Linked DNA regions of Oryctolagus cuniculus. The protein of the gene in region 2 interacts with the protein of the main gene of each other region in a biochemical or structural test. Links are inferred from orthologs where the notes say so. Each region holds a gene or a part of one and is shown on either strand. Other genes may lie near its edges.

The links.
Region 1: the proteins of MSH4 (region 2) and MLH3 form a complex in vitro, tested with the Homo sapiens proteins (2 studies listed by BioGRID). The link is inferred for Oryctolagus cuniculus from reciprocal best matches to the Homo sapiens genes MSH4 and MLH3.

What each region holds. Positions count from the first base shown.
Region 1 is NC_091451.1:21,093,905-21,098,259, forward strand, and holds part of MLH3 (DNA mismatch repair protein Mlh3), read right to left. Parts: intron 4,317-4,355; coding exon 4,221-4,316; intron 3,183-4,220; coding exon 3,097-3,182; intron 2,374-3,096; coding exon 2,269-2,373; intron 1-2,268. UniProt on the Homo sapiens protein: Probably involved in the repair of mismatches in DNA.
Region 2 is NC_091438.1:96,175,481-96,179,835, forward strand, and holds part of MSH4 (mutS protein homolog 4), read right to left. Parts: intron 3,417-4,355; coding exon 3,301-3,416; intron 2,531-3,300; coding exon 2,357-2,530; intron 1-2,356. UniProt on the Homo sapiens protein: Involved in meiotic recombination. Required for reciprocal recombination and proper segregation of homologous chromosomes at meiosis.

The DNA of each region.
Region 1 (4,355 bases), on a different chromosome or scaffold from region 2:
ATAAAACCGTACTGTGAGTTGTCTTCATTATAACACTCATAATCTAGGGCTGATGGAGCTGAGGGAGTCATTAGGAAGACAAAGAACGGGCAGGGAGAGAGATCAGACACAGAATGAGAGACCACAAAGGAAGACTGACAGACACCTGAGAGGGACACTCTAACAAAGCTTCCGAGTAGATATGAAATGCTCCCAAGAGAGTGACTCTTAATGGGTAATATGACCACAGGACCGTCTATGTAAGTACAGCCTGCTAGTAAATAGGCTGAAACAAATTTTAAAACTTCATGCAGAAACAAGACAAACCATTGTGGAGGAGCCAGTCCATTACAGCAACAAAGGCCACTGGCGGGGCAGGTGTTTGGCACTGTGCTAAGGATACCACTTGGGAAGTCACCCCCACATCAGGCTGCCTGGGTTCAAGTCCTGGCTCCACTTCTAATCCAGCTTCCTGATAATGCACACCTGGTGGCAGCAGGCGCTGGCTCAAGTACCTGGATCCCTGCCTCCCATGCAGGAGACATGGACTGAGTTCCTGCCTCCTGACTCTAGCCTGGCCCAGCCCTGGCTGTTGCAGGCATCTGGGGCGTGAACCAGTGAACGGAAGTGCTTTCTTGACTTATCTATGTGTCTCTGCCTTTGAAATAAACAAACATATAAAGTTTTGTTTTTTTTCTTTTAAAGCCACCAGGGCTTTAGACCTTGTGGATTAACACCCACTTTTTCTGGTAAACTCAATGCCAGGTTAGGAGGTTAACTACATCTGTCTACCCTTCTAATTTGCTTCCAAAATGAAAACAAGGTAGGTACTGGTACCGTGGCACAGAAGGTTAGGCCGTGGCTTGCAGCGCCAGCATACCAATTCCCAGCTGCTCCACTTCTGAGCCAGCTCCCTGCTAGCACAGCTGGGAAAGCAGCAAAGGAATGGCCCGAGTGCTTGGGCCCCTGCACCCACGTGGGAGACCTGGAAGAAGCTCCTGACTTTGGTCTGGCCCAGCCCTGGCTGTTGCAGCCATTTGGGGAGTGAACCAGCAGATGGAAGTAACTCTCTCTCTCTCTCTCTCACTGTAGCTCTGCCTTTCAAATAAAATAAAGAAATCGTTAAAAAATTCATTAAAAAACCTAAAAACAAGGTGAGTACAACAGCCACAGTGATGAACAGAGGGCAAAGTAGAAAAGCAAATGAGCCCAGGAATCCCTTTGCTCACGGAGCGCCTCAACCTGGGGCTTCTGAAGCTTTTGTAGTCTCACGGCAAATACAGTCATTTTCTTTTTCTTTTTTAAGGTTTATTTATCTATTTAAAAGGCAAAGTTACAGAGAGTAAGGGAGAGATAGAAAGAGTGAGGGCTGGCCAGCGCCGCGGCTCACTAGGCTAATCCTCCACCTAGCAGCGCTGGCACACCGGGTTCTAGTCCCGGTCGGGGCGCCGGATTCTGTCCCGGTTGCCCCTCTTCCAGGCCAGCTCTCTGCTGTGGCCAGGGAGTGCAGTGGAGGATGGCCCAAGTGCTTGGGCCCTGCACCCCATGGGAGACCAGGAGAAGCACCTGGCTCCTGGCTTTGGATCAGCGCAGCGCGCCGGTGTAGCAGCCATTTGCGGGGTGAACCAACGGAAGGAAGACCTTTCTCTCTGTCTCTCTCTCTCTGTCTAACTCTGCTTGTAAGAAAGAGAAAAGGAAAAGGAAAGAAAGAGTGAGGGCTTCCATTCACTGTTCACTCCTCAAATGGCCGCAACAGCCAGCACTGGGCCAGGCCATCAGTAGGGAGACGGATCAGAAGTGGAGCAGCCAGGACACAAACCGGTTAGGGTTAGGGGTTAGGGGCTAGGGTTAGGGATTCCAGCGTCACAGGAGGTGGCATTACTCACCAGGCCACAACACCAGGCCCTGTGGTCATTTTCTAAAGGGCACTGCTGTACATTTAAGGACAAAGTCTCCAATGCTATTTTGCTGATTTAAAAATTACTGTCAAATACAAATACATATAATCTGCAGAAATACGTTAACAATCACTGAAACTGAGAGTCTAATTCATAACTGAGTCTCCCCAAACCTGCTCTCACCACTGAGGACATTTCTTTCTTTGCAATTATAATTAATCCTATGCTTTTCTTCCAACAGTCAAGTTCCGGTGAGATAAAAACAAAAACAAAAACAAGCATGTGCCAAGACCAAGGTGGTCTATATCACTAAATAAATTCAATGTCGTGAGAGTTAATCCAGCTTAGGCCTTATATATATTTTCATGAGATTTCAAAGTCAATCTTTTACCTGCATTGAATGAATCATTTCTTTGGTGAAACGATACGGATACAAAATGTTGTGAATTTTAACCGCTAAGCTCTCAGCCTGGCCACTGCTTACATCAACAGCAACCTAGAAAGACCCAGCACAAATGTCATTTAAATGTTAATTGTTGTGTCTGCAGAAATGTTTTACCAAAGATTTCAAAGTGCTTTAAAAATATTCACTCTCATATAATCTATTAAAGATGGCTTGAATTCAGGGAACTTACAGAAATTCAAAAAGCTCTATGAATAATCATCTTAAGTAAGTTTGTTTAAACAAAATGACAAAAACCAATACTGCTTCAGATCAACAATCTGTCTACGCTCCAAAGACCTTAAAGATCCTGACTAAACAAATCAGTGATGGAGAGCTCACTTGTTATGCACACCCTGCAGTGTAGGAGGTACGTTCTGTGCATTCACACTGCGGACAGACGCCCACGTTCTGTGCATTCACACTGCGGACAGACGCCCACGTCTACGGACAAGCCGGTCCTCCAGAAGAGGCTTCACCGCTTTATCTAATGATGGCAGTTTTCTCATCACCAGCCTGAACACTGCACCACCGCTATGTCAGGGTTTCCAACAGCGATAAACACATTCACTATTCACACTCTGAGTATACAGGTTTAATCCTTCCAAAATGCTATGAATTCTCATTTTTCCTCTCCACATTAAGCATTAATTTCCAAATAAATTACCTGGAAACATACTCAGTTTCTATTCACAATTATACATTTGTGTCCGTACTCAGCTTAAATGAAGTTCAAATTTTAACATAACAGGCAAATAAAAACTGCTGCACGCCCACCTCTGGGTAGCGGGTAAATACTGGGTTGTCCCATTCTGAGAGCAAAGACTTCAGGGATTCACTGCCAACAGCATCCTCCACAGTATCTAGGGCAAATGGGAAAGATTCAGCTGGCACCCAGAGCCCAGGAAAAAGGGTGAACCCCACTTCCCTTGGCTGTAGCCTCAAGACCCAAGATCAGATACACTGCCCCACATTCTACAGATGTTCAGTGTTTGCTTTAACTCCAAGCTGTTCTGCTCTGCTACTTTTTAAACTAGAGTTGATGGCTGTATCTTCTATTATAGCTTTTCTCCCAACTGTTTACAAAAGGTACTTCAAAATACAAGTCCCGAAAAAGCAATGGCTCAAATTAAATTTGTTGCCTCACTGCCTATAGGTTAAAAAAAAAACACAAAAACATGTATTTTTAGTAAAAATTTAAAAAATAGATGTCTAGGTCAGCGCCGCGGTTCAACAGGCTAATCCTCCACCTTGTAGCGCTGGCACACCGGGTTCTAGTCCCGGTCGGGGCGCCAGATTCTGTCCCGGTTGCCCCTCTTCGAGGCCAGCTCTCTGCTGTGGCCAGGGAGTGCAGTGGAGGATGGCCCAAGTACTTGGGCCCTGCACCCCATGGGAGACCAGGAGAAGCACCTGGCTCCTGCCATCGGATCAGCGCGGTGCGCCAGCCGCAGCGCGCTAGCAGCGGCGGCCATTGGAGGGTGAACCAACAGCAAAGGAAGACCTTTCTCTCTGTCTCTCTCTCTCACTGTCCACTCTGCCTGTCAAAAAAAAAAAAAAAAAAAAAAAAAGATGTCTGTCGCTTTTTTCAGTTTTACTTAGATAAAGCTCTTGCAGCATGCAATGTGACCCCCATCGTTAAAAATCAGAAACATCTCCCTGATCACAAAGCACCACAGACTGCATAATCACCCAGTATTAACCTCAAGTCTGGAAAAGTAATTTCTGATCTAAATGCATACACTGAGTTACTTAGTTCTGCTGTGAAATAGGGCCATGGGGAATTCCTGGTTCCAATAAGGCACAGCTGGCACTGATCAAGCTTACTAATGCAGCCCTGTTTTGTTCTGTGCGTGAGGTGGCACGGCGTGTACAAGGTGTCCAGGCAATGTTATTGCCCCTACCTCTGTCACTCTGTCTCGCCACAGTCCTCTCCTGAACTCTTGGAAGGAAAGGAAGAACAAGGTCACTTCTAAAAGGATGACATCTGTACTGAGACCCTAAACATAAAAAGGAAAAACCTAGAAACTTAAGCTCAA
Region 2 (4,355 bases):
ACCGGGACAGAATCCGGCGCCCCTTGTCCAGTTTTAAAGTGAGGTGGGTTTTGTTTGTTTTTTGCTGTTTAGTACAAATATCTTTTATTTTATAGTTTTTACTTATTTGAGAGACAGAGAGACAGAGTGTGCTCCCATCCACTTATTCACTCTCCAAATGCACAAAACAGCTGGGGTTGGGCTAGGGCCAAAGCTGGGAGCTGAGATTGCAATCCACACAAATGTAGTGCCAGGAACCAATCACTTGAACCATCATTGTTGGCTCCTAGGGTCTACATTAGCAGCAGCTGGAGTGAGAAGCTAAAGGCAGGAACCAGAGTCAGGAATCAAACCCACATTTTCTGAAGTAGGACATGGGCATCTCAGCTGGCATCTTAATTATGAGCCTAAATGCCCCCAAATATCTTTTTACAACCTGATTTTGGTGAAACTTCTGAGCAGTTTAGCAACAATGGTACAATGATTAAAAACATTTATTCAGGGGTCAGTCCTGTGGCACAGCAGGTTAAGCTACCACCTGCAGCATCCAACATGGGTGCTGGTTCAAGTCCCAGCTGCTCCACTTCTGATCCAGCATCCAGCACCCTACTAATGTGCTGGGAAAGCAGCACAGGGTGACCCAAGTGGTTGGCCCCCTGCACCCACATGGGATACCTGGAAGAAGCTCCTGGCTTCAGCCTGGCCCAGCCCTGACCATTGTGGCCATTTCAGGAATGAACTAGCAGATGGAAGATTTCTCCCCCACCCTCTCCCTCTGAAACTCTGCCTTTCAAATAAACAAATCAGAGAGGAGAGGAGGGGAAGGGAGGGGAGAGGAATAAAAGAAAAAAAGAAAAAGAAAAAGAAAGAAAGAAAAGTCCAATGAAAAATGGCCTCTCTACCTTTCCCAATATTCACTAAACACATAATACACACAATGTGTGTGTGTGTGTATGTAATTTTTTTAACAAATATACTCAAGAACATTCAAAATACAGAAACACAGCCTAAAAAATACCAGGATATTGAAGGAATTACACTAATTAAAAAGTATTTGGAATTGGACTGAGATCTTCCCTCTGCTGGTTCACTCTCCAAATGGCCACAACAGCTGTGACTGTGCCAGGCTGAAGTCAGGAACCCAGAGCTTCTTCTGGGTCTCCCCCATGGGTAAAGGGGCCCAAGTACTTGGGCCATCTTCTTCTTTTTTCCCAGACCATTAGCAGGAAGCTGGATGGAAAGTGGAGCAGCTGGGTCAGAACCCAGCACCCATTTGGGATGCTGGCATTGCAAGTGGTGGCTTTACCTGCCACACCACAATGCTGGACCTAACCTCCACTTCTGATTTCAGCTTCCTGTCAGTGCAGATTCTAAAAGGCAGCTCAAGTAGCTGGGTTCCGGCCACCCATGTTGGAAACGAATTGTGTTCCTGGCTCCTGGCTTCAGCATAAGCCACCCCCAGTTTGTTGCAGGCATTTCAAGAATGAACTTCAGAGCTTTCTCTTTCCCGCTCTCTCTCTTTTACCTTTTCCCTTTCATTTCCCCTTCTCTCCCTTTCTGGTTCTCCAAATAAATTTTAAAAGAAATCTTTTAATAAAACAAATATATTTATTCACTATTTCTTCATGAAACAACTGAAAAAAATTTAAATTAATTAATCTTAAAAAAAAGGACATAAAATGATACTTTTAAAAAGGATTTATTTATTTGTTTGAAAGGCAGAGTTACAGAGAGAGAGGGCGAAACAGAGTGAGAAATATCTGTAGGTTCACTCCCCAGATGGCCATAATGGCGAGGACTGGGCCAGACTGAAGCCAGAGCTAGTAGCTCTTCCAGGTCTCCCACATGGGTTGCAGGATCCCAAGCACTTGAGCCATCTTCTGCTGATTTCTCAGGCACATTAGTGAAGAGCTGGATTGGAAGTAGAGCAGCTGGGACACGAACTGGCATCCATATGGATGCCAGTGTCATAGGCAACAGCTTAAACTACTACACTCTAACACCGGCCCTTAAAAATACATTTTTTAAAATTTATTTGACAGGTAGAGTTATAGACAGTGAGAGAGAGAGACAGAGACAAAGGTCTTCCTTCCGTTGGTTCACTCCCCAAATGGCCACCACAGCCGACACTGGGCCGATCCGAAGCCAGGAGCCAGGTGCTTCTTCCTGGTCTCCCATGCGGGTGCAGGGCCCAAACACTTGGGCTATCCTCCACTGCCCTCCCAGGCCACAGCAGAGAGCTGGACTGGAAGAGGAGCAACTGGGACCAGAACCCGGTGCCTACATGGGATGCCGGCACCACAGGCGGAGGATTAACCAAGTAAGCCACAGCACCGGCCCTAAAAATACATTTTTTAAAAAAGTTAGAAGATCTTACCTATAGTCTTGGTTATTAACTAGCAATTCAAGGTTTTGGGCTGATGATGAATCTATCATTGCTGTTTGTTCACTACCTTGGAAACAAATCTTCAGCGATTTGGGTGCATAAACTGAATTTTGAATAAATTCAACATATTTTAACAAAGCTGCAACAGCTGCAAGACAGTAATATCTGTAAGGTAATCAATGATATATCACTGTAAGTCCTTAATTTAAAAAATTACTGCTATAAGAAGAAACACTCATTTCAACTTATTTTCAGTAAAATTACAAGTAAGTTATAACAAATGTTCCTTATTTTAAAATACAATACTTAAGGGAACTTAAGAATACTTAAGGGTCACCAATAAACCATGTGTCAGAGACAACATTCAATGGTAATTTGTGTCTATTTTGGATTTACAACTCTAAGTACTCAAATAATGCTGAAAGAGTATGAAGACCTTAAAGGTGGGGTCAGGATGTCCCAATCAATAGGAAAATATATTACAAATTCAGTGAGAATAAACATGGTCACTAACTGAGTAAACAGTGTCCAATCTGGCTCAGAGAACATATTGATTTTGCACGTTCTGAGAAATATTTATCCTAAAAATATAATTTCCTATCTCATATTTCTAGGATTAAAAGTATGATGTAATAAGAACACCACTTCAACTGTACTTCATTTCCATGCCACAACTTTTCTAGTTTACTGTGATGCTTGAGATTTTTAATCCAAAATAAAGCTGGCAGCAATCATCAGAGCAATAGATTATAACTAATTTGGGGACACTGCATAGAAACTTTAATTAACTGTTTTATTATTTCAATAATATTGTGTATTATGAGTCTGGAACTTTTCTAGGTAGTTAGTAGGGATACAGAAGGGATCAAAGAAAACTCTGCCCTCATGGAACTCACACTGGAGCTTTCTTACTTTCTTTTTAAGTTGTAACTTACTTGGACTGAACCTCCATTAGGACAGTGCTGAATTCTGCTGTGCAAAACTGTTCAATATACTCTAATCCTTTTGTTTCATTGAAGTATTTCCTTTGGACAGTAGTAAAATTAACGTTCTGAAAAAAAGTTTTAATTGCAAAATAAATTTTTAAGTGCCATATGTTGCTCAAAAGTGCTATTATAAACACATAGACAGGTGGTAAAAATATGTATACATTTTTTTCAATATTTAAATAGAAACATTAAAAACAAAATGGTTACCCATCTTTCTAAGTGTCATGTAGTACAATCTGTAGCCCTTATTAAGATTTACTCTCAGGAAATTTAACTGAATATAACAGGTACAATAGTCAAAAAGTAACCATGAGAATCTGCCTTCTAGTAGTTTATTCATAGTAACAACATCACATAGATTTTATACTAAGCCTTCCAAACTCTGTCACAATTGAGAAAGGCTAGAATCTTAGAATGTGCCAGTTGAAACTATGAAAACAATAACTGCGCCTATCAAATCCATGAAATATTATTTATATTATGCAAATTCATTGAGAATAAAGTCAGAGGCAATGGACCTTTTTAGAAAGGAAAAAAAAAGAATCATGAAGTTCTAAAGTAAAACCTTTACCTACTTCGATTGATGTAATGGGTAAAAAAAAAAAAATCTGTCAAAGAGCTATCAAGACTGAAGAAAAAAAGACACTCATGGGAAAGCAGCGAATTTGTCAGGTACCAAGATTGTTTTTTTTTTTTTTTTTTTTTTTTTTTTTTTTTGACAGGCAGAGTGGACAGTGAGAGAGAGACAGAGAGAGAAAGGTCTTCCTTTTGCCGTTGGTTCACCCTCCAATGGCCGCCGCTGCAGCCGGCGCACCGCGCTGATCCTGGCAGGAGCCAGGAGCCAGGTGCTTTTCCTGGTCTCCCATGGGGTGCAGGGCCCAAGCACCTGGGCCATCCTCCACTGCACTCCCTGGCCATAGCAGAGAGCTGGCCTGGAAGAGGGGCAACCGGGACAGAATCCGGCGCCCCAACCGGGACTAGAACCCGGTGTGCCGGCGCCG